3 linked regions of the Rhinolophus ferrumequinum genome follow. The protein of the gene in region 2 binds, or shares a complex with, the protein of the main gene of each other region. Links are inferred from orthologs where the notes say so. Each region holds a gene or a part of one and is shown on either strand. Other genes may lie near its edges.

Evidence for each region. The genes of interacting proteins can lie anywhere in the genome.
Region 1: cytochrome c oxidase assembly factor 1 homolog (region 2) and TMEM126B share a complex: the UniProt entries of both Homo sapiens proteins name them as parts of the mitochondrial complex. The link is inferred for Rhinolophus ferrumequinum from reciprocal best matches to the Homo sapiens genes COA1 and TMEM126B.
Region 3: cytochrome c oxidase assembly factor 1 homolog (region 2) and ACAD9 share a complex: the UniProt entries of both Homo sapiens proteins name them as parts of the mitochondrial complex. The link is inferred for Rhinolophus ferrumequinum from reciprocal best matches to the Homo sapiens genes COA1 and ACAD9.

What each region holds. Positions count from the first base shown.
Region 1 is NC_046294.1:58,590,436-58,598,142, reverse strand, and holds the start of TMEM126B (complex I assembly factor TMEM126B, mitochondrial), read right to left. Parts: upstream 3,022-7,707; 5' UTR 3,006-3,021; coding exon 2,925-3,005; intron 1-2,924. Other genes in the region: DLG2 (disks large homolog 2), read left to right, coding at 4,991-5,009. UniProt on the Homo sapiens protein: As part of the MCIA complex, involved in the assembly of the mitochondrial complex I. Participates in constructing the membrane arm of complex I.
Region 2 is NC_046303.1:57,539,966-57,547,233, forward strand, and holds the start of cytochrome c oxidase assembly factor 1 homolog, read right to left. Parts: upstream 3,014-7,268; 5' UTR 2,935-3,013; exon of another isoform or gene 2,912-2,934; intron 2,831-2,911; exon of another isoform or gene 2,656-2,830; intron 1-2,655. UniProt on the Homo sapiens protein: Component of the MITRAC (mitochondrial translation regulation assembly intermediate of cytochrome c oxidase complex) complex, that regulates cytochrome c oxidase assembly.
Region 3 is NC_046285.1:217,009-224,446, reverse strand, and holds the start of ACAD9 (complex I assembly factor ACAD9, mitochondrial), read left to right. Parts: upstream 1-4,417; coding exon 4,418-4,564; intron 4,565-7,438. UniProt on the Homo sapiens protein: As part of the MCIA complex, primarily participates in the assembly of the mitochondrial complex I and therefore plays a role in oxidative phosphorylation.

The sequences.
Region 1 (7,707 bases), on a different chromosome or scaffold from region 2:
AGAACAGGGATTGCCTTGCAGAACAGTGAGAGAAAAAAAATCACAAAGAGGGACACTGTTCCAGGCTAGGAAGAGGCAGTGGATCATGGCTACCTTGCATTACATGAGTTACATATCCAGCTCCCTAGTAGTACCTGGGGTGAAAGCAGGGCCTTTCCTGGAAATTGCTGTGTGGTATACCGGTGAGTAGGGTCTCATGGCACTGGACACCAGGGTTGGAGGTTCCTGTGTCCCAAATGTGATATATGAATAGGTGGTTGTCAATGTCAAGGGACCATGAGGATTTGGCCAGTACCATTTTCACAGAAACCAGTGGTAAAAAAAAACACAACACCCTGGATCCTCAGAAAGGATCCTTTCTGAATGTTTTGCTCTGGGTAAGACTCTTAGATCTCTGTGAAAAGTCTTAATAACATTAAATTTTTTGCCACACTAGAATTATGGGATTCCAGGTTAGCCAATGAATAGAAAGTTCATTCAAAGAAAAGTGTATGGCCCGTCACAATTTATACCAATCTCCATTTTTACATCAAATTTAGTTAATGGCATAGACTAAATCTCAAATTTCCGGAGTCCCAGGCAAGAAAATTAGAGTGGATTAAGTGCAATGAACACAGAAGTTACTTAATAAATCAGTGATTTTCAACCTCTCCTGTGCACAAGAATCATGTGGGGAGTTTATTTGAAATGCAGTCTCTTGAGCTCCCACCTGAGATATGTGGATTCAACAGGAGTAGGGTGAAACTTAGAAATCTGCATTTTAATAGCACCAAGTGATTCTGTTGCTGGCAGTCAATGGACACATGTTGAACATCACTGTAATACTCATTTGCTGAATAAGCTGAGGTCAGACAATTAAGTTTGTGAACCTGTTGCAAAGATGTTGCTAACCTTTTTTGATTATCAGAGGGATTATTTATTAGGAATTTGTATCAAATGGGCAATCAGTTAACCAATTTTACTGTTTGGAAGTGCTGAAAAGGCTTCGTGAAAAAGTTAGATGACCTGAACTTTTCACCAACAATTCCTGGCTCTTGCATCACGACAATGCACCAGCTCACACTGCACTGTCTGTGAGGGAGTTTTTAGTCAGTAAACATATAACTATTGGAGCACCCTCCCTACTCACCCGATCTGGCCCCCAATGATTTCTTTCTTTACCCAAAGATAAAGAAAATATTGAAAGGAAGACATTTTGATGACATTCAGGACATCAAGGGTAATACGATGACAGCTCTGATGGCCATTGCAGATAAAGAGTTACAAAATTGCTTTGAAGGGTGGACTAAGCACTGGCATCAGTGCATAGCTTCCCAAGGGGCGTACTTCGAAGGTGACCATAGTGATATTCAGCAATGAGGTATGTAGCACTTTTTCTAGGATGAGTTCTTGAACTTAATTGTCCGACCTCTTATGTACCAATCCTAACCCTAACTAATGAAAGGCCAATTCATCCATGGTATAAATATCCTGAAGATATGGGCTCCTTTGGACATTTGTATGGTATTACACAGTGACTAATTAATAATGACTTAGTTTCTTTCCTTGCATCATTTTAGACTGTACTCAAGCTACTATGTTTCCCCAAAAATAAGACCTAGCCAGACAATCAGCTCTAATGTGTCTTTTGGAGCAAAAATTAATAAGACCCGGTATTATATTAATTATATTATGTTGTATTATATCATTATACCCGGTCTTATAGTAAAATAAGACCAGGTCTTATTTTTTGTTCCAAAAGACGCATTAGAGCTGTTTGTCCAGCTAGGTCTTATTTTCGGGGAAACATGGTAGTTCTATCTTTTTCTTTAAAATATCTGGGGAGGACAGGGAAAATTTTATTTTTTTTTACAAGTTACAGTTTCTCAGGGACTAGATTTAATCTTTTGCCTCGGACATCTAAATGGAAAATGGAAGAGAAGAGATAGTAACATCTGGGGGGAGGTTCTATATCTAATGTTCTATGAAGACAGAAGTCAGTAACATAATTAACCAGAAACCTTGAATAAATTTTTTGTTTTGCTGTCATTCAATTCATTGAAGTCCCTTACTCCTCACAAAGAAAACTTTCAGGCTATGACTTGTATCAACCCCCTACCTTGTCTAGGAGGACACAGGATTATGAGCCTAAAATACTAAAACAGGACAGCAAATATTTATTGAGTGCCTAGTCTTTGGAAGGTACTGTTATTAAAACAAAAATATATGGATAGCTTTTTGATAGATTTTTGACAAGTATTGAAACAAAGATTTTTGCTATAACCAACATTTTATCTAAATAGTCCAAGGCCACTCAACTGGTCTCCATGATCATACCAGAAAGAGTGTATTTATGTAGATTTATAGTTTACAAAGTATTTTATGGTTTTGTAGTGCTTTTATGTGTACTATTTCACCTGACTTTCAGAATTTTATTCAACAATCTTCCATCATTTGACAACCCTTGGGATAATCAAGATGTAGTCATCCTCAGGGACACACAACCCAGACGGAGGTCTGGACAAAAAGGCAGGGAATTTAAACGCAGAGTGAGTATGCCATAAAAGCAAAAGCCAAACTTAACCTATCCAGGGTAAATGTGGGAAGGCTTCCCAGAGGAAGTGACATTTACGCGAATATCCGAAAGAGGAGAATTTGGCGCGCGCTGTGTGGGGAGGGAGAGATGCAGGGATGCCTTTCAAGTTGAAGGAAAGGCCAGTGCAAAGGCCAGGAGGCAAGAAAAATCAAGCAATCAAGACTGGACTTTAGGTCTCCTACATTCTTTCCGCCTCTTTCCATTGCAACTGGAGACTTGATTGAGCCCTGCATGGACCTGGGAGCTGTTCTCTTTAGGTATTCAAGCCCCTTATACATCATTCCAGAAGAGTCCTCCAACACTTGAGGCTACAGAAATCAGGGCCCATACCACCTGGGTTTCCGCCTACCTTGCGCACTTCCCCAGCTCCCACCGGCACCACACTTCCATCCCTCAGGTCAGCCCCAGCCTCACGCCCGAGCGCCGCCATCTTGAGGGCTCACGTGACTAGCGAGTGGGCGGGGACCGAGAACGCCGGGAGGGAAGTGGTCACGCCTCTCTCCCGCAGTCCCGGCCCGCCCGGCCCGCCCCGACTTAGTCAAAAGCCGCGCCCTCCATCCTGGCTGTGATTGGGTGCGGCTTCCTGAAATTACGGCCTCTCATTGGCTTCGAGGAGGTCCAGACTCCCGTAGGCCCGCCCCCCCGCCAGCCCTGCATTCCCTTCTTTTGCTATTTGTTAACCTAGCTCCCTCTTCTCCCATCCCGAGGGAGACAAGGGGCGGTCCGAGCGCAGGGATGTTACTGCGCGCTTTCCTCTCTTCTGGGCACCTCTGTTAGCTGGGGCCGAGCTGCCCGCCCCTCTCACTCCTTGAGGGAGCTCAGCCTTTGGCTTGGCCCAAGTGTTAAGGCTCTGGCTTCTCAGGCACCTCCTCCCCTGAGCCCACCCGGCCGCCAGGGCAGCCCCGACTGGCCTCCTCCCCTCGCAGCCGACTGACTCCTCTTCCTAATCTTTAGTGCCCTCATCTTCCATCCTTTCACTCCGCTTGGAAAGGGACCAGAGGGAAATTTGCCCCCTAATTCCCGAGAAGACCCCCGTGCCAGCCAGTGTCTCGGGGTGGGGGGCGCAGCAACGAGGCCTGGCGCCTTTCTGTGCACGCTCAGTGCCCAGCAGTATCTCCCAGACCAGCAACCCCCGACCCTCCAGCCTCCATGTCTTAGAGAAGCCAAATCCGAGAGTTATATAATTTCTAGTGCTGCTGTTTCTCCTGCCTGAGGAAACACTTCATCGCTTGGAGGGTGCAGGACATTTCTGTGCTCTTCTATATAAGAATGGGGTGTGGGTAGGGGTGGCCAGCGGTAGCACAGATTTCTTGTCTTTTCTGCACAAGGAAGGTGGGTAGTTTGGAGAGAGATTGAGAGAAAGGGTGGATGTGGAAGCCAAGCAGCCGAACACTCTCATTTAGGAAATCGCGAACTCTCTCTGCACAGCTTGTGCTCACATGCCTAATATTACTACAGCGTCTCAGAAAACACCTTTGCGGGAAGGTTTGACTTCTCTGGAGCAGTCTCAGTGTTTTTCCTCGCTGGATAGGCAGCTGCTTGGATGCGAAGAGATGGCATGATGTGAATGACTCCAGTGTGAAGAAATTTGCTTCGCCAACTCATCCTGCATCAAGTGCCCATTGAGTAGCACTGTCACTTTAATGTCTCCATGCCAAGGGATTGCTTTCCTTCTTTTCAGTCCTCTCGGTTAATACACGGGAGGATCAGAATCAGAGGGGCATTAAGGATCAAGCCTGAGGGGCTTGGACAACACAGAAGAAAAAAAATGAAAGTGACAGCAAGCTGGATCCTGTCTTACTGAGGGGGCGAGATCTGGAACTTCTGGTCCAGTAAATAGAAAGGGGCCTTTCAGTCTGTGTTCTGCCCCAGGAAACTCTTCAAACTCACCCACCTTTTTAGAGACCAGTCAAAGAGGTTTTTAAAAGTATTTTTATTTTTTGGAGGGGTGTTTAAATTTTTCTCTAAAGAATTGAGGATCTTTCTCATCAACCAGTTCATTTTTGAATTAGATCATGTATTGAGTAATGAAACAGCTTTGTAAATTTGGTTTGTGCCTTAATTGAGTTATTCATTGATCTTCAAAAATGTTGCTGCCTGAAGAGGAGTTTTAATAATATTTTCTATGCTTACAATAATTTTATTAGCTTTTTAAAAAACAGAATATTTTATAAAAATTGAAAAACTTGAAAAACTCAAAAGTTATTTTTCACTAAACTCTGTGGGCAATGTCAAAAGTTTAATTGTGGAAAAGATACGCTATTTTTTCTTTACCTGAAAGAAGACAGCCTGGATTTCAAAACTAAACAGGTGAAGTGGTTTGCAACAGTTACCTGGCTCTTGGCTTCAATCCAGTTGGATCGAGTTGAGACCTGAAAAGAGATCCTGCATCCTGTGACAGTAGAAGGACCAAGAATGCCAGTCAAGAAGAAAGGTGGGCTATGAGGCTTTTATATAATATATGTTTCTCCCTTTTCTTGGTTCTGGTATTTGCAATTTACATTGCATTCCATTTGAGAGTAAAATTTTGCTTGAGCTTGGGGAAATATTTATTATAATAATGTCTTTTCTGTGGCACATCGTTTAGTAATATAATTTTGCTAACGTGAAATGAAGTAGGACTATAGTATTTAATTATAGACATTGATGACTTCATAAATCAGGTTGTCTAAATCACCATTTATAATGAGGATAGATTTGGTACCATAGATTTGGGATTTTCTTCAGCTTGTTTTCTTAGCTTGTTAAAGGTCACTTTTAAAAATCTTTAAGAACGAAACTTGTACAGTGTTCTTCGGCATGGTTTTAGTATTATCAAGTGAATTACATGGTTGTAAAAGATAGCAGAACTGCACTGAAAAAAATTATAGATTTATTATTTATCTTTTGGTTGAAAATAGATTTCATATTTGGGTTTACTCTAGTGTAAATCTTCACTTTTGTGATAAAGGACAATTTGGGTAACTGTGTGCTTTTTCAGATGTATGCAATATCCAATAGCATGATTGGCAAGTTCTTCAAGTGAGGCAAACACCTGACTCCTACCACGTATCCATTCCTGAAATTGATCAAGAGCCAATGGGTTCCTGACATATAGTTTATTATAGTTCAGATCTTGGGATTTACTTTAGCCTGGATCTATCCCAGGTTAACTTGGTTCCTAAGGATCCTAGTGAAACAAGGGAAACCAGCCTTTTTTTTTTTTTTTGGCCATGTACAGAAGATCAGATCAACTATAGTTTTCTCGAGAGTTTTGAACCAAAATTTATATGAACACCACTGAACTCTACTATACTGAGCTAGCATAGATCCAAATATTGCCCAGTTATATGAGTTGCTACAACCTGAAACTAAAGTTCAGGGTGATGGTTAAAGTGTAGCCTGGCTCTGCATGATGTTGAATCCGTCTACCTGTGGATTTGGAAGGTGCATTGAGAAAACTTATGATCAGTGAGATGCTTTATCCAACTGTTGTCATCTGTAGAGATAGAAAATGATATTTAAAATTTTTGAAACACCTAGCAATGTCCTTTTGTACACTGGGATTTAAGGCTGGGATTATTTCCTTCTCTCATTCCCAGTCTCGCTCATTGTCACCGAGAGAAGCACTTGTAAACTCTCTATGAGATTTTGGAGCCACACCTGTCTAGACCTGACAATAGTGGCTTGTCTGGAACAAGAGTGGTTTTGGTAATGTAGCCAATAAATGATATGGCTCTTTGATTTATTTAACTTACAGTGTATTTTAATTCTTTCTACCATTTATTGTTCTCAAGACATTGTCCCTATTGGACTACTTTATTTTAGACTTATAATTGAATTAAACACATTGCGTGAGTGTGTGTGTGTGTGTGTGTGTGTGTGTGTGTGTGAAAGAGAGAGAGAGAGAGAGAGAGAGAGAGAGAGAGAGAGAGAGAGAGAGAGAGAGAGAGAGAGAGAGACAGATGGGGCCAGGGAGAGGGAGAGAGATATAAAGGGATAAAAGGGAATCTAGGAAGGAGGAGGAGGAAGTGCAATTGATATTTTAGGTGTAACTTAACTAAGCCAGTGATCTTAAGGTTTTTAAACCCAATAGACTGAGTCTCTTAAGAGTTCCTACCTTTAAAGGAAGTTACAAAAATTGCTGATACATTATTGAAACTTATACTTTATGAGAAGTAATTTAATTTTTATTTCCCTTTTCCCTCTTTCTTCCTTCCTCCCTCTTCCCCTCTTTCTTTCCTCCCTGCGTCCCTTCCTCCCTCTTCCCCCCTTCATCCCTCCATCCCTCCTTTTCTCTCTTCCTTCTTTAACAATGAATTGCTTGTAATGGATCAAATTTTTAAGGAACCAACAAGTTCTAATTAGCAAAACAAGTATATATTTGGGTTATACTAAAGTATATGCATATGTAATTTACTTTATGAACTGATCTCTTTAAATCTATTTAGAAAAACAATTTATCTTGTTTTTAATCTCTTAAAACCAGAAGTATTAAGATATATTTTTGAATCTTTACACAACTAGCCAAATAAATTGTGACATGTGCATTATATTTTTAATTGACTAAGCTTACTTTTGTACTATTTCTAAAATATAAGTAAAATCTAACCTAGATTTATTCTGCAGAGAGTACTATCCTCTGTCATCTTGAATCTTTTTTCTTTCTTCATTGTGACATCTGGTAGATATGATGGAAGAGCTAGATTAATGTAATTTTAACAATAAATATCTTTATTGAGCCACATGTTTAATCATTGTTGAATATGTTCGTGTTTAAATAAATTTTCATAGGACAGATTTCATTTGGTGTTTATTTTGTATGTTATTATAAAAGTACAGAGGAGGTTCTCTGGTTGGTAACATACAACCATGATGGGAAGTGCGAATGGGTCTGACATCTCATTAAGTCCATTTTTTTAGGCACTATTGTTGACTGCTCTTAGATAAGCTAAAACTGCTGTACCTCAAACCCCTGTACTCACTGCTCTTTTGCTTTATGACACAACTTCCTACCTCCTCAACCCCACTCTTCACATTTTAACAGATCTCAGTTTTATCAACAGAAGACTCTTTATTTCTCTGTTAGAGATTTTTTTCCCCAAGAGTTGCTTTTCATTCAGGATTCTCTTTTCTACAGTAGTAACTTGATT
Region 2 (7,268 bases):
CCTCAGCTAATATAATTAACAGTGAAAATCTGAAGCCATTACTTTATGTTCAGGAACACGATCGGGCTGTCCCCTATCACCTCTGCTTTTCAACATAGTGTGGGAAGTCCTCGCCAGAGCAATCAGGCAAGAGAAAGAAATAAAAGGCATCCGAATTGGGAAGAAAGAAGTTAAACTGTCACTCTTTGCAGATGACATGATGCTATATATATAAAAACCCTAAAGACTCCACCAAAAAACTATTAGAAACAAATGAATACAGTAAAGTTGCTGGCTACAAAATCAACGTACAAAAGTCCATTGCATTTCTATATACTAACAATAAAATCTCAAAAAAAGAAATAAAAAAAAAGCAATTCCTTTTGCAATTGCAGCAAAAAGAATAAAATACCTAGGAATAAACTTAACCAAGGATGTGAAAGATCTATATATTGAACACTATAAGACATATTTAAAAGAAATTGAAGAAGACACAAAGAAATGGAAAAACATCCGCGCTCATGAATTGGAAGAATCAACATAGTTAAAATGGCCATATTACCCAAAGCAATATACAGATTTAATGCAATCCCGGTCAAAATCCCAATCGCATTTTTTAAGAAATAGAACAAAAAATCATCAGATTTGTTTGGAACCACAAAAGACCCCAAATAGCTAAAGCAATCCTAAGAGAAAAAAAAAACAATGCTGGAGGTATCATACTCCCTGACTTTTGCTTGTACTACAGGGCAACAATAATCAAAACAGCATGATATTGGCAGAAGAACAGACACATAGACCAATGGAATAGAACTGAGAACCCAGAAATAAACCCCCACAAATACTGACAGATAATTTTTGACAAAGCAGCAAAAAACATACAATGGAGAAAAGACAGCCTGTTCAATAAATGCTGCTGGCAGAATTGGATAGCCACGTGCAAAAGAATGAGACTGGACTACTATCTGTCACCATGTACCAAAATTAATTCAAAATGGATCAAAGACTTAAGCATAAGAACTGATACAACAAACTGCATAGAAGAAAACATAGGTACTAAACTTATGGACCTTGGGTTCAAAGAGCATTTTATGAATTTGACTCCAAAGGCAAAGGAAGTAAAAACTAAAATAAATGAACGTGTATATCAAACTTAAAAGTTTCTGCACAGCAAAAGAAACCATTGAGAAAATAAAGAGGCAACAAACTGAATGGGAGAAGTTTTTGCAAACAGTGCCTCCGATAAGGGGCAAATGTGCAAAATTATAAAAGGAACTCATGAAACTCAACAACAAAAAAACAAACATCCCAATTGAAAAATGGGCAGAGGACCTGAAGAGACATTTCTCCAAAGAGGACATACAAATGGCAAATAGACATATCAAAAAATGCTCAACATCACTAATCATCAGAGAAATGCAAATAAAAACCACAATGAGATATCACCTCACCCCAGTCAAAATAGCTATCATTAACAAGACAAATAGTAAAAAGTGTTGGAGAGGCTGTGGAGAAAAAGGAACCCTCATACACTGTTGGTGGGAATGCAGACTGGTGCAGCAGCTATGGAAGGCAGTGTGGAGGTTCCTCAAAAAGTTAAGAATAGAATTACCATATGACCCAGCAATCCCTCTCCTGGGTATCTACCCAAAAAATCTGAAAACATTTATCCATAAAGACACGTGTGCTCCAATGTTCATTGCAGCTTTACGTAAGGTGGCCAAGACATGGAAACAACCAAAATATCCTTCGATAGGTGAATGGATAAAGAAGTTGTGGTATATATACACAATGGAATACTATTCGGTGGTAAGAAAAGATGAAATAGGACCATTTGGGACAACATGGATGGATCTTGATATTATAATGCTAAGTGAAATAAGTCAGACAGAAATAGTAGAGAACCACATGATTTCACTGGTATGTCGTATATAAATCGAAAACAAGAAAAGAACAAGACAGACAACTGAAACAACAAAAATTCATAGACATAGACAATAGTTTTGGGGTTACCAGGGGGTAAGGGGTAAGCGGGCAGCAGGGCTCCAGAAGAATGTAAAGGGGTCTAATGTATGGTGATGGAAAGAGAACTGACTCTGGGCAGTGAACACACAATGTGAGATACAAATAATGTGTTACAGAATTGTACACCTGATATCTATGTAACTACTAATAATTGTCACCCCCATAACCTTTAATTTTTTTTAAAAAAGTTTAAGTAGAGTTACTACTTCTATCTGAAGGTGAAGTAGACCAATAGAATACCTTGAAGTAGAGCAATACAGCTCAGGTGAGAATGGGTAAGAGTTAGCAGAAGATATAAGGCGTAGCAAGAATCAAAATTTAAGAACCTTCTTAGATTTTTAAAATGTTTAAATTTTTAAAATAACAAGGCGCGCGCGCTCACACACAGGTACCGTCTGCGCCGCTGAAAATCACTTCTACAGTCATCCCTATAAGGAGCTCAAGTGTGCTCTGGACAAAATTATTATGACCACTGCACCAGAAACTTCTACAATCATCTGGGCAGCGTCGTTCTCCGAGTGACGTAACAGGACAAACAACAAAGTGCCCAATTCCACCTCTTCTAGAGGACCCCCAGAAGAACGGCTTCACAAATGTGCTCTTGGGACCGCTTAGCAGGGACTGCAGGACAAGCCAAGGTTAGCTACACACAACCTCAGAACTCCGGGTTGTAAAAGCATCTAGTAGAATCCCAAGGCGCGGAGCCCACCGCGGCCGCCTAGGCACCGACCACACCGCCGAGGGAGGGTGCGCCACACCCGGTGGCGGCGCGAACGTCCCCGAGGCGACCCTTGAGGGCCTTCCCTGGCAGCAGCACACTCTCACGCAAACGCAGCCACCCGGAACGCTTGAACAAACTTGCTGAGCGTAGGAGATCCCCAGACTCTTCCTCCCAGGGAAATCTAACCCGTCAGCGAGAGCCGTACAGACCACAGCACGCGCGAAGATCCCTGCTGGAAGTGGGGAGTGGGCGGGAAAAGGCCGCGGGCGGGCCCGCCCCGGAAGAGCAGTGGAGACTTCCGGCGTCTCCTCCTCCGGAGGCTAGAGCGTAGGGCGCGGACACGGCTTGCCCAAAGTGGATTCGCCGTGACTGGGAGGCTGATCCCAGGTTGAGATCGCCTTGGCAACCGGGCTTCAACTTCCTAGACGCTGGGACGCGCGCCGGAAGGGATTCCTCTGGTCAAATCTCCGTTGTTTGTTTTCTGGAACCTGGTAGCCCACATCATGGGTTTGGTGCAGCAGGGCCCGCTTAGGACGTTTAAACCACTGGCTTATATTGCCCCTCCCAGGGACCTCGCCGTTGGCAAATCCCGGAGGAAGTGAAATCACGAACCCTCTGATATCCACTATGGCACTGAAGTCCATCTTGTTCCTTTCGGCTGAAAATTTAGCAATACTAAATTTTATTTTATTTACCAAATGTTTACGTATTAACTGCCTATGGTGCTCCAGGGAATGCAGGGGTAAGAAAAAAATTAATGATCTCTGTTCGCTTGGAGTTTAGTAGTAAAATGGGTAATAACAGTATTTACTTAATAGGTTTGAGTATGTAAAGTACTTAGAATAGTGCCTGGCACTGCATAAGTGCCCAGTAAACATTAGCTGTTATTATTTTCATCTTGATCATTCCATGGTCATCATCATCACTATTATCATTTACATTTTTAAAAAGATTTTTATTAAAATATAGCTAACATACAATATTAGTTTCAGATGTACACCAGTTATTCAACATTTATATACCTAACGAAGTGATCACCATAGGTCCAGAATGCTGTGACACTGTACCACCGCTATCACAGTATTATTGACTACTGTATATTCCCCATGCTGTACATTACATCCCCATGGCCTGTTTGTTTTATACCTGGAAATCTGAACCTCTTATTCCTCCTCACCTTTTTTACCCCTTTTTAAAATTTTCAATTATAGTTGACATGCTGTACAGTCGACATTATATTAATTTTGGCTGTACAGCATAGTAGTTAGACATTTCTATTTAAGAAGTGATCCCCCTGACTAGTCGAGCTCCCACCTGGCGCTATACATAGTAATTATCATAGTATTGACTATATTCCCTATGTTTTACTTTACATCCACATGACTATTTTGTAACTACCAATTTGTACTTCTTAGTCCCTTCACCCTTTTCACCCTTCCCCCAAATCCCCTCCAATCTATCACCTCGATTAATCTAGTAGCCGTCTTACACCAGATATAGTTATTACAATATTATTGACTATATTCCTTATGCTATATGTTACATGCCCATGACTACTGTGTAACAACCAATTTGTACTTCTTAATCCCTTCCCCTTTTTCATCCACCCTCAAACCCCCTCCCATCTGGCAACCATCAAAATGTTCTCTATATCTATGAGTTTGTTTCCGATTTGTTTGTTTATTTTGTTCTTTAGAGTCCACATATAAGCAAAATCACATGGCATGCGTTTTTCTCTGTCTGACATACTCCACTCAGCACAGTGCACAGGTTCATCCATGACACCACAGATAGTGAGAACCCATTCCCTTCCATGGCCGAGCAATATTCTTTGTATAAATGTACCACCTATTCTTTATCCATTATTCCATCTATGAACACCGAGGCTGCCTCCACATCTTGGCCATTGTAAACAATGCTGCAATGAACAGGGATGCACACATTACCTCGAAGCAGCGTTTGGGTTTCTTCAGATAAATACCCAGAAGTGGGATTACTGGATCCTTCTTTGTCTCTTGTTATAGCCTTTGTTTTAAAGTCTATTTTATTCAGTATAAGTATTGCTACCCCAGATTTTTCTTTTTTTTTTTTTGATTTTCATTTCCATTTTCATGAAATACTTTTTCCCATCCCTTTCAGTCTGTGTGTCTTTCAATATGAAGTGAGTCTCTTGTAGGCAGTATATGTAAGGGTCTTGTTTACTTATCCGTTCAGCCACCTCACCTGTTGATAGGAGCATTTAATCCAATTACATTTAAAGCAATTATTGATAGGTATGTAATTATTGCCATTTTATTCACATTTTTTTATCTTTTCTTTTTAAAGAAACACCTTTAACATTTCTTATAATTCTGCTTTGGTGGTAATGAAATGTTTTCGCTTTTTGTTGTCTGGGAAACTAAGCTCTTTGTCCTTCCATTCTAAATGAGAGCTCTGCTGAGTAATCTTGTTTGTAGGTCCTTGCTTTTCATCACTTGGAATGTTTTGTGCCAGTCTTTTCTGGCCTGCAAAGTTTCTGTTGAAAAATCAGCTGATAGTCATATGGGAGCTCCCCTATGGATAACTAATTACTTTTCTCTTGCTGCTTTTAAGATTTTTTTTTTGTCTTTAACCTTTGTCATTCTAATTAAATGTGTCTTGGTGTGGGCCTCTTTTGGTTCGTATTGTGTGGGACTTGCTGTGTTTCCAGGGCTTGTATGTCTATTTCCTTCACAAGGTTAGAGAAGTTTTCCATCATTATTTCTTTAAATAGGTTCTCAATCCCTTGATCTCTCTCTTCTCCTTCTTGTACCCCTATGATGTGAATATTGGTATGCTTGATGTTCTCCCAGAGGCCCCTTAAACTCTCCTCTTTTTTTTTCCTGTTCTGTTTGGGTGTATTTTGCCAACTTACTTTCTAAGTCATTGATTTAATCCTCTGCTTTATCTTATCTACTGTTGATTCCCTCTAATGTAGTCTTCATTTCAGTTATTGTATTCTTTATTCTGACTGGTTTTTATGTTTTCTATCTCCATTTTTATGTTTCCTGTGTCACTGAGCATCCTTATCATCAGTGTTTTGAACTCTGTATCTGGTAGATTGCATGTCTCCCTTTTGTTTAGGTCTTTTTCTGGAGCTTTTGTCTCTTCTTTTATTTGGACATGTTTCTTTGTTTCTCCATTTTGGCTGCCTCCCTGTGTTTGTTTCTATGTATTAGGTAGGGCTTCTATGCCTCCCAGTCCTAGTAGAGTGGCCTTATGTAGGAGGTTTCCTGTGGTTCCCAATGGCGCCGTCTCCCTGGTCACCAGAGCCAGGTGCTCCAGGTGTCTTCCTTGTATGGGTTGTATGTGCTCTCCTATTGGAGCTGAGCCTTGGTTGCTGTTTTCACATCATTAGGAGCGATTGACCCTCAGGCTGATTGGTTGTGAGGAGTGGCCATGTCTACAGTGGAGGAGCTTTGGTACAGGGGCTGACTTTATGGAGCAGGATTCACTTTACCAGGACTCTGGTACCTTGGGTGTGTCATCCTTGGAGGTGGTGAGGTGGTGCTCTGGCTCGGTCCTAAGCTGGATACCAGTTGTGCCAGCCCCATGGTCTCCTGGAAGGGGACCTGCTGCAGACCAATTTCAGTCACAGCAGCCACAGATGGTTGCTGCCTGCACTGGGCTTGGAGGTGCCTTGAGAGGCCAAGCTGCAAACCAAGGCCAGCTGTTGCTAGTGCTGGGCTTAGGGCTGATCGGCTAGAGGTATAGGACATGCCAAAGCCATATACTGCTTGTTTGGGTTTTGTGAATCTTTGAGAGATTTTAGGAAAGCATGCAGCATGCCAAGACAGGACAATTGTACGGAAAGCCACTGGAAGTGGCTTGGTTTTGCCCAAAAGTTGGGTTTGGTGGGGTCTCAGGGAATCATGATGGCAGGGCAGATGAATAGTGTTAGCCAGGTGATGGAGACTCAGATATGGTGGCTGCCTGCCTTTGCATACCCATAGAGGGGAGGGCTCAACAAAGCGACAATGCCTTCTGCTAGCTCCTCCGTCCAGGAGAGAGCTGTCCCTCCAGACCTTGCTCTGAAGCCAGAAAACTCCATTCTTCCTTGTATGCCCCTGCTGCCTATTGAGCTGCTGCCCTAGCAATGGCCTCAAGGCAAGTGAGTCCGTCAGCGAGTAAGTCCATGTGCGGGCCCTTTAAGAGGAGTGCCTGTGAGACTAGTTGCCCTCCATCTCATTCAGCCACAATCTCCACTGGTTCTCACAACCAGAAGTAATGGGAACTTCTCTCCCTAGCACTAGACCCTCGGTTGGGAGCCTGGTATGGAGCTGGTACCCCTCGCTTCTGTGGAGGGGGGGGGACCTCCAACCTCTGCAGTTAAGATATACCTCCTGATTTTTAATGGTCACACGTGGGTGTGGGACCAGCTCGTTCCAAGCCTCTGCCCCTCCTACCAGTCTCGAAGTGGCTTCTTCTGTATGTACTTAGTTGTAGGGCTTTAGTTCAGCTAGATTGCAGGTGATTCCCAATGATGATTGTTCTGTAATTTAGTTATAATTTTGATGTTGTTGTT
Region 3 (7,438 bases), on a different chromosome or scaffold from region 2:
GCCGGCACTGAACTGCCTGCCTGCACTGTGGTCCTGCCATCTGAGCCAGCCCTTGTAAAGGAGTTCCTGGAAGTGTGTTTCAACGAACAGGACTGAGGCTTTTCCTGTCAAATCGGAGCTGTGCAGCTGTGTCACCATCAGCATCTTCACCAACCAATCAGAGTGGCTCCACTCTGACCAATCAGGACAGTGCTGTTTGGACCAATAAAACTGTGAGGATTTGGACTCCTCATTTACATAACGTCAGAACAATCAGGGACCAGTTGCAGGGACTTGTCTCTATATCTCAGCTCCCCTCTAGCTCGGGGAGCACATTTTCCCTTTCCACTGAAGACTGTTTCCCTAGCTGGAGTTGAAACACCAAAGACATCTTGCCACACCAGAGTGGAGTGGACTGAAGCAGATGGAGTGGACCAGAGCATGGCAGAGCCTACCTGAGTGGACTGGACTGGAGTGTCTTGACTGAGGGCCACCTCTGTGGAACAGAATGTGCTGTTCCAAAGCCATTCTGTATCATAATTGAGCTGTAACACTATTGAGCTGTCGCATACCTGTGCTGTTCTCACAGCTGTGCTGTATCACAATTGAGCTATTTGCACTGAATAGTTTTCCTTCTTCACTATACCCCAAATTGGGGATTCCTGTTGGCATTGAATTGGCATCAATGACCATCAGTTGACACACTCCATTACCTTTGCAGCTTTCAATAAGCTAGTGACTTCCAGGTTTCCATAATAAATAATGTACCCCAAATGGGAACAAGTATAAAGCAAAAAGGAAGGAATAGTAGACAGCATAATGTAGTGTATGAGACAAAGGATTCTTTGAGGGACACCTCTGTACACACAGATCTTTGGTCTTTAGACAGTAAGGTGTCAGCCAACTTCTCTCTCAGCAGGAAATAAACTAGTGATAAAATGTGTACAACTTATTTGTGTGCCCTTGTATTAGGATATTGACTGCTTTGAGGCAGAAACCTTAGCTAGACTCATATTTCACATAACTGATTATTGATCTTATAGCCATGGAACAGGAGACAACTCCCCTCACCCTTTCTTTTCTCCAATTCTGTAAGTCAATTTCTCCACTGGCTTCCGATTTTGCAGCTTTAACACTGGGGTATCTAGGAGTAGTTTTCTACTCAGACAATATGCCTGTAACTCAAAACCAAACATCCTGGTATGCTATTATGGCCAAGGAAGAGTGTCAGATTATTTGCTGGTAAGTTATGTATGGGAATCAGCTGCATTGATGTGACTCATAGAAAGGACATTCAGAGATACAGGCATACCTTGGAGATATTGTGGGTTTGGTTCCACACCACCGCAATAAAGCGGATATTGCAATAAGTGAGTCACACAATTTTTTTGGTTTCCCAGTGCGTATAAAGTTATGGTTACACTATACTGTAGTCTATTAAACATGCAATAACATGTCTAAGAAAATAATGTACATATCTTAATGAAAAATAATGTCCAACTGAGAACTTTGATGGAATTTTGAAGTTTTATCTTTTTGGATGTCAGACTTACTAATTTAATTAAGCAGATATTGTTTAAAGAGGAAAAAAACACAAAAAATAAAGATACTTTATTGCTCAAAAAAGGCTAACCATTATCTAAGTCTTCTGTGAGTTTAATCTTTTTACTGGTCAACAGGCGTGCCTCAATGTTGATGGCTGCTGACTGATATGTGTGGCTGTGGCAATCTCTAAAAAGAAGACAACAATGTGGTGCCCTTTCTACCATATCTGCAGTTACTTCCTCTACCGACGTCTTGAACCCTTAAAAGCCATTCACGAGGGTCGGAATCAACTTCTTCCAAACTCCTGTTAATGTTGATAGTTGACGTCTTCCTGTGAAATCACAAATGTTTTTAATGGCATCTAGCATGGTGAATTCCTTCCAGGTTTTTAATTTACAGATCCATCAGAGGAATCACCATCTATGGCATCAATAGCCTTATGAAACGCAATTCTTAAATAAGACCGTAGCAAATATAATCATAAAGAAAAGTCTGAAATATTACAAGAATTACCAAAATTTGACACAGAGACATGAAGTGAGAAAATGCTGTTGGAAAAATGGCACCGATTGACTTGTTTGGTGCACGGTTGTCACAAACCTTTAATGTACAAAAAGCAGTATCTGTGAAATGCAATAAAGCACAATAAAACAAGGTATGCCTGTACTCAGTGAGGATGTTTTAAACTCTGAAGATGGGAAATTCTATGTCTATAGTAAACTACTTAAAAATGGCATCCTATTTCTCAGAGGCTTATACTCAGGTATAAGATACAAACCTCAGAGTGTAGGCATTTTTCATTTTTACAGTACTAAAGGAAAAACATTGCTCATTTAATGTGGTAGATGCTTTCATATGGATTATTTTACTAAATCCTCACAAAAATCCTGTGAGATAAATGGTATTATACTCATTTTTATAGATAAGGAAACTAAACTTAGAAACCGGCATAGAACTCTATAACTCTTTTCCCACTGTACACACTACTTGAGTACTTACAAATTATGCCTTAATTTATTTATAATTTTTGTTTTGGAAACTGTGTGCCACTGAATTTCTCACTTGCTTAACTTAAGGTTGATCTCTGTACACTAAACAGGAACTGACACATTATCAGATTACTTGATTGATTTGACATTTGTTTTGGCAAAAATGTACAGCAGCTCAAGATTGAAACCCAGGTTTTGCAATATCACTTTTCTTTGTTTCATCCCCCTCCCCAGGTTAATTCACAAAGGCAGCAGTTTCCAAATGCCTTCTTGCAAAGCTATATTTTGAAATAGACAAATATTGATCACTGATGAAGAAACCAGGCGATAAACCTTTGCAAGTCAAAGAAAAGACAAAATAAAAAACAAATTGCAGAAGATGTTTGCAAATACACTGCAACCAATAAAGTTTTTGAGCTCTTCCCCGATGTTCTATCAAGTTTTTACTCAAACAAGTAAACATTTTATTGGGCCAGGCATAGCACCATTGAGATGAATGAGATTCCATTCAACTCCTATTCTCCAGGAGTTGCCATAATGAATGAAGGCAAAAAGGATTTCCCAATACTGTGGTAAATGCTATAGTCAGGGTACAAGTACAATGAGAGGTAAGCAGAGAGAAAAATCTTCCTGGAGGAGGCTGACTTAAGACCACTAGTGAGTGCACACTTGGCCTGGTTCATCGCTGGGCTGTGCGGTGTCTCAGAGATGCCAGGTCCTCCTCCCTGGGCCCTAATGACTTTCTGGACCTATTCCACCAATTATTGTTCCCACCCCTTCTCGGTTCCCTCTGAAGCTTCTCTTCCTTTGCCTGCCCTTTTAAATTGGTGTTTCCTAGGTACAGTTGTAACTCACAGGATTTTATCCAAACCTCTCTCCTGCAGAACATCACTTTTCTTTTCCTACACACACACACACACACACACACACACACACACACAGTGGTACCTCAGTTTTCCAACGCAATCCGTTCCGGAAGACCATTCGAGTTCTGAAACATTTGAAAACCGAGGCGCAGTTTCCCCATAGAAAGTAATGCAAAATGGATTAATCTGTTCCAGACCTTTAAAATCAACACCTAAAACTGTAAATTGAGCATGAATTTTACTATCTAATGATACCACAGATCCATAAAATTTACGGCGTTCGTAAACCAAAATGTTCGTCAATGGAGACGTTCAAAAACCGAGGTGCCACTGGGGTGACAATGATATGCACACATATGTTAAGAGGTGTTATCTATGCTGAAGTATAGTTTGCTATAATCAGAAGTCTCTGGACACTGAAGATAACCAGGTAACCACCTTGAGCACCTCTTGTAATTGCAGAAGTCAAATGTGACTTATATTCATCTTTTGTTATCGTTATGTATTATTACAATTTAGTTTTTTCCCTTTCTTAAAATGTGTATACATTTTTTATTGTACACATATAATCGAAACAAAACGACTTCTCACGAATCCACCATGCACTTTAAAACCGAATCCACCATCCACTTTAAAACCGTAACATTACCGGTACTGTGGGTTCCCTTCCACAGGTATATCGTGAAATTTCCCCATTCCCTTGCTTTTCTTTAGTTTTACAACGGCCTTGTTGCTCCACTTGGCAAGAGGGAGGTAAATGGAGGCAGCCAGGCCGCCGCTCACGCGCTGGTGCCCACAAAAATAACAACGCCCTCCTCGCCACCACGGCCACCAGCCAGGACAGCAAAACCATCAAGACGGCAGCGGCCCCGCCCCCCTGATCTGCCGGCGGCCCTGGGGGGCGGGGCGGGAGGCTGCTCAGGCGCGTGGGCGGGCGGCGCGGGCCGGTGACGTCATCCGGCAGCGCGGGCCCGGTGCACGTGACTGCGGCGCGGAGGAGAAGGTGGTGGCGGTGGGAGTGTGGGGATTCCCGGCAGCATGAGTTGTTGCGGGCTCTTGCGAAGGGCTGTGGCATCGCGTTCCTGCAGCGCTCTGGTGGCCTCTGCCGTGAGCCCGCGCCGGCTGAGCACCAGTCGGACGAGCCGAGCTTTCGCCAAGGAGCTCTTCCTGGGCAAAATCGAGAAGGTAACGCCAAGTCTGGGCCCACTCGGGCTCTCTGCCGCCTGCTTTTTGCCCCGATCAGGAAACACTGGGATCAAGCTTTTCCCGTGTCCGCACACCTGAGGGGCAAGGCGTGCTAACACTCCAGGTTCCTGAGTCCCATTAGATCATGTGCATTTTTCCAGGGAAAGGGAAGAGTCTTTCCAGGGCGGGGGGCCCCGAGAACTCATGGTTTTGACAAGTGTTCCATTTTGTTCTTGTCCAGTCAGTTTGGGAAACACTAGGCCAGGCGATGCAACCCTCAACTCAGCGGTCTGGCCCCCGAATGTGTGGGGCTTCCTCTCTGAATCCTAAACACAGCTCGGACCGTGCCACTCTGTCAGCTTCCAGCAGACCCGAGGCGTCCACAGCTGAGTCCGAGCACCTCACTCTGCCATTCAGGTTCCTCTGCAGTCTGGCTCCAAGGTGCCCTCACCCCATCCCTTCCACGGTGGCACCACCCAGTAGTAACCCAGATCTTACGCAATAGTAATAACAGCTTGGTTATTAAGCATTCAACGTCCTCTTATAGTAGGAAGACTTGGATTTGACCTCGGTTCTGTGACTGAGCCTCAGTTCTTTTAGCCTTAGAAAAGGAGCTAGTGATGTATTCTGTCTCACAGATGTGTTGTAAAGCCCCAGTGAAATATATAGGGTGTGGAAATGCTTTTTAGCCTGTAAGGTACTGTGCAGATGCAGAAGTCAGCAGAATAGGTAGTAAATGCTGGCTTCAACACTTACTAGTGTATGTGCCTAGTACTTACCCCCTCCTAAAGGTGCTTTGTAAACCAAAGGAAAAAACTTGCATAAAGTGCTTTGAGCTTGGCTGAAATGTTGGCTGATAGTATATCATTTAAGGACTTATTCCCTGGTTTTCCTTTGGAACATTCCTCTAAGGTTGCCAAGCATTACAGATGCAGAAGCAGAGACTCAGACTAACAGTGGTTTGCTCTGGTAGGAAGTATACAAACTCTGTCTTTAAGGTTTAGGAAACCATTTTCCCCCAGCCTGAGGCTGTGGTGCTCTGTCCTGGGATCTCATGCCCGCCTCAGCACAGTGAAGAAAGAAGACAAGTCATTCATGCTTCTCTTTTTCCAAACTTTTGGCACTCCCTCCCCCATTGTCACTCTGAGCTGTCAGCTTTGCTTCCTATTTCACTGAGAAAATACATGCAGTCAGATGACAACATCCACCATAACACTTAGCCGCTCCTTCCTATGCTCTGTGCCGTGTGGGCTGCATTCTCTTATTGTAGATGAACTGTCTACTTAAAGAAAAGGCCAAGCGCGTCACTGTACCTCATGTCTTCTCACCTACTCAGGGCTTTGACCCAGTAATTCTGTCCTTTCTCATCTACATCATCAGTTGTTCCTTCTCTGCTGCATCTTGAACTCACACCATTCAGGCTTTTGTCCTGAACAATCCACTTATGCTCATGAAAGTCAGTAGTGACCTTTGTGTCATCACATGTAGAGATCTGTTCTCTGTCCTCATCTTACTTGACCCATCATTGGCGTCTAACACAGTTTATCACTCTGGCTTCTAAGAAACTATTCTCTCCTAGTTTTTCCATCTGCTTTACTGGCTGATCCTTTTAACTTTTTCACTTTTTCTTTCTTGGCTCCTTGACCTCTAAACATTGGCCAACATTTTCAACTAGCCCAGTTGGAGCTGGAGTTTTTTAGGGCTCAGTCTGTAGACTTCTACAACCCCACATTGGATGATCTAATTTAGTATTGTGGCTTTAAATACCATCAATATGCGGATGTCTCAAATTTATTTCTCCAGCTCAGATTTCTCCCCTGAACTCCAGACTCTTTTTATATCTACCTTTCTAACAAAAGCTTCACTTAGGTGTGAATAAGCATTTCAAATTTAGCATATCCAAAACTGAGTTCCTGGTCTCCCTACCCAACCCCATTCCTTCTACCAGCCTTCTTAATCATAAATGGTTAATTTACTGTTCAACTTGTTCAGGCCAAATACCTGGAGTTACTTTTGATACCTCTTAGTCTCATAATCCACAGCTAATCTGACAGCACGTCTTGTTTTCTCTGCCTTACATTTAGAATCAGATTCTTATATTTAGAATCTGACTGCTTTTAAGCACCTGCACCACTATTGCCCTGGTTTAGGTCAGCATCATCTCTCACAGCATTATTGGGGTTTGAGCAGGAACGTGGCATCTGAGATGCCTAGAATTTCAGAACAGAAAGAGACCTTCAAGATCATCTAGACCAGTAGTTGTCAAACTGCCTTCAGGTGGACCCTCGTTATTCATGGGAGTGTCCCTGGGGCTACTGCTGGGACCAGTGGGAAGCCGAGTAGGAGACATTTGGGTGATCTTTCTCCCCCTCTGCAGTCTCAACCAGAGCAGCTTGACTTTTATTTGTTCTACGTATTTGGTGTCTGCACTAGATTTAACTAAAAAATATGTTTTACTACTTTAAAAAATTTGGAAGCGCAGATGGGAATTAAACCCAGCACCCATGAGGCACCCCGTTTAGTTTATGAACACTGATAGAAGAGATTTGTTCTTCCATGCATGGAGATCTCGCTCCCTGCAGCAGTTAGCCTTTGGTTGTGCTTGAGGGCCATCTAGTTCCCAGGCTGTTCTCTTTTCTTTTCTGGAGTGCTCACTGGTACCAGGATAATCTTATAATCGTCCTCTAACATAGCTCATTGCACAAGGCCTGAGTGAACCCATGGGCTTGTGAAAGCCAGAGCAGTGGGTTGAGCATCTGTATTTCAGCTAAGGAGCTGGCTGTGTTCTGAGAGGCTTCAGAGTGATTAGTCTTAGCATATTTTCCTCCTAGACAGTCTAGGACAGGGTCAGAAATGGCATGGAGGCAGGAATTC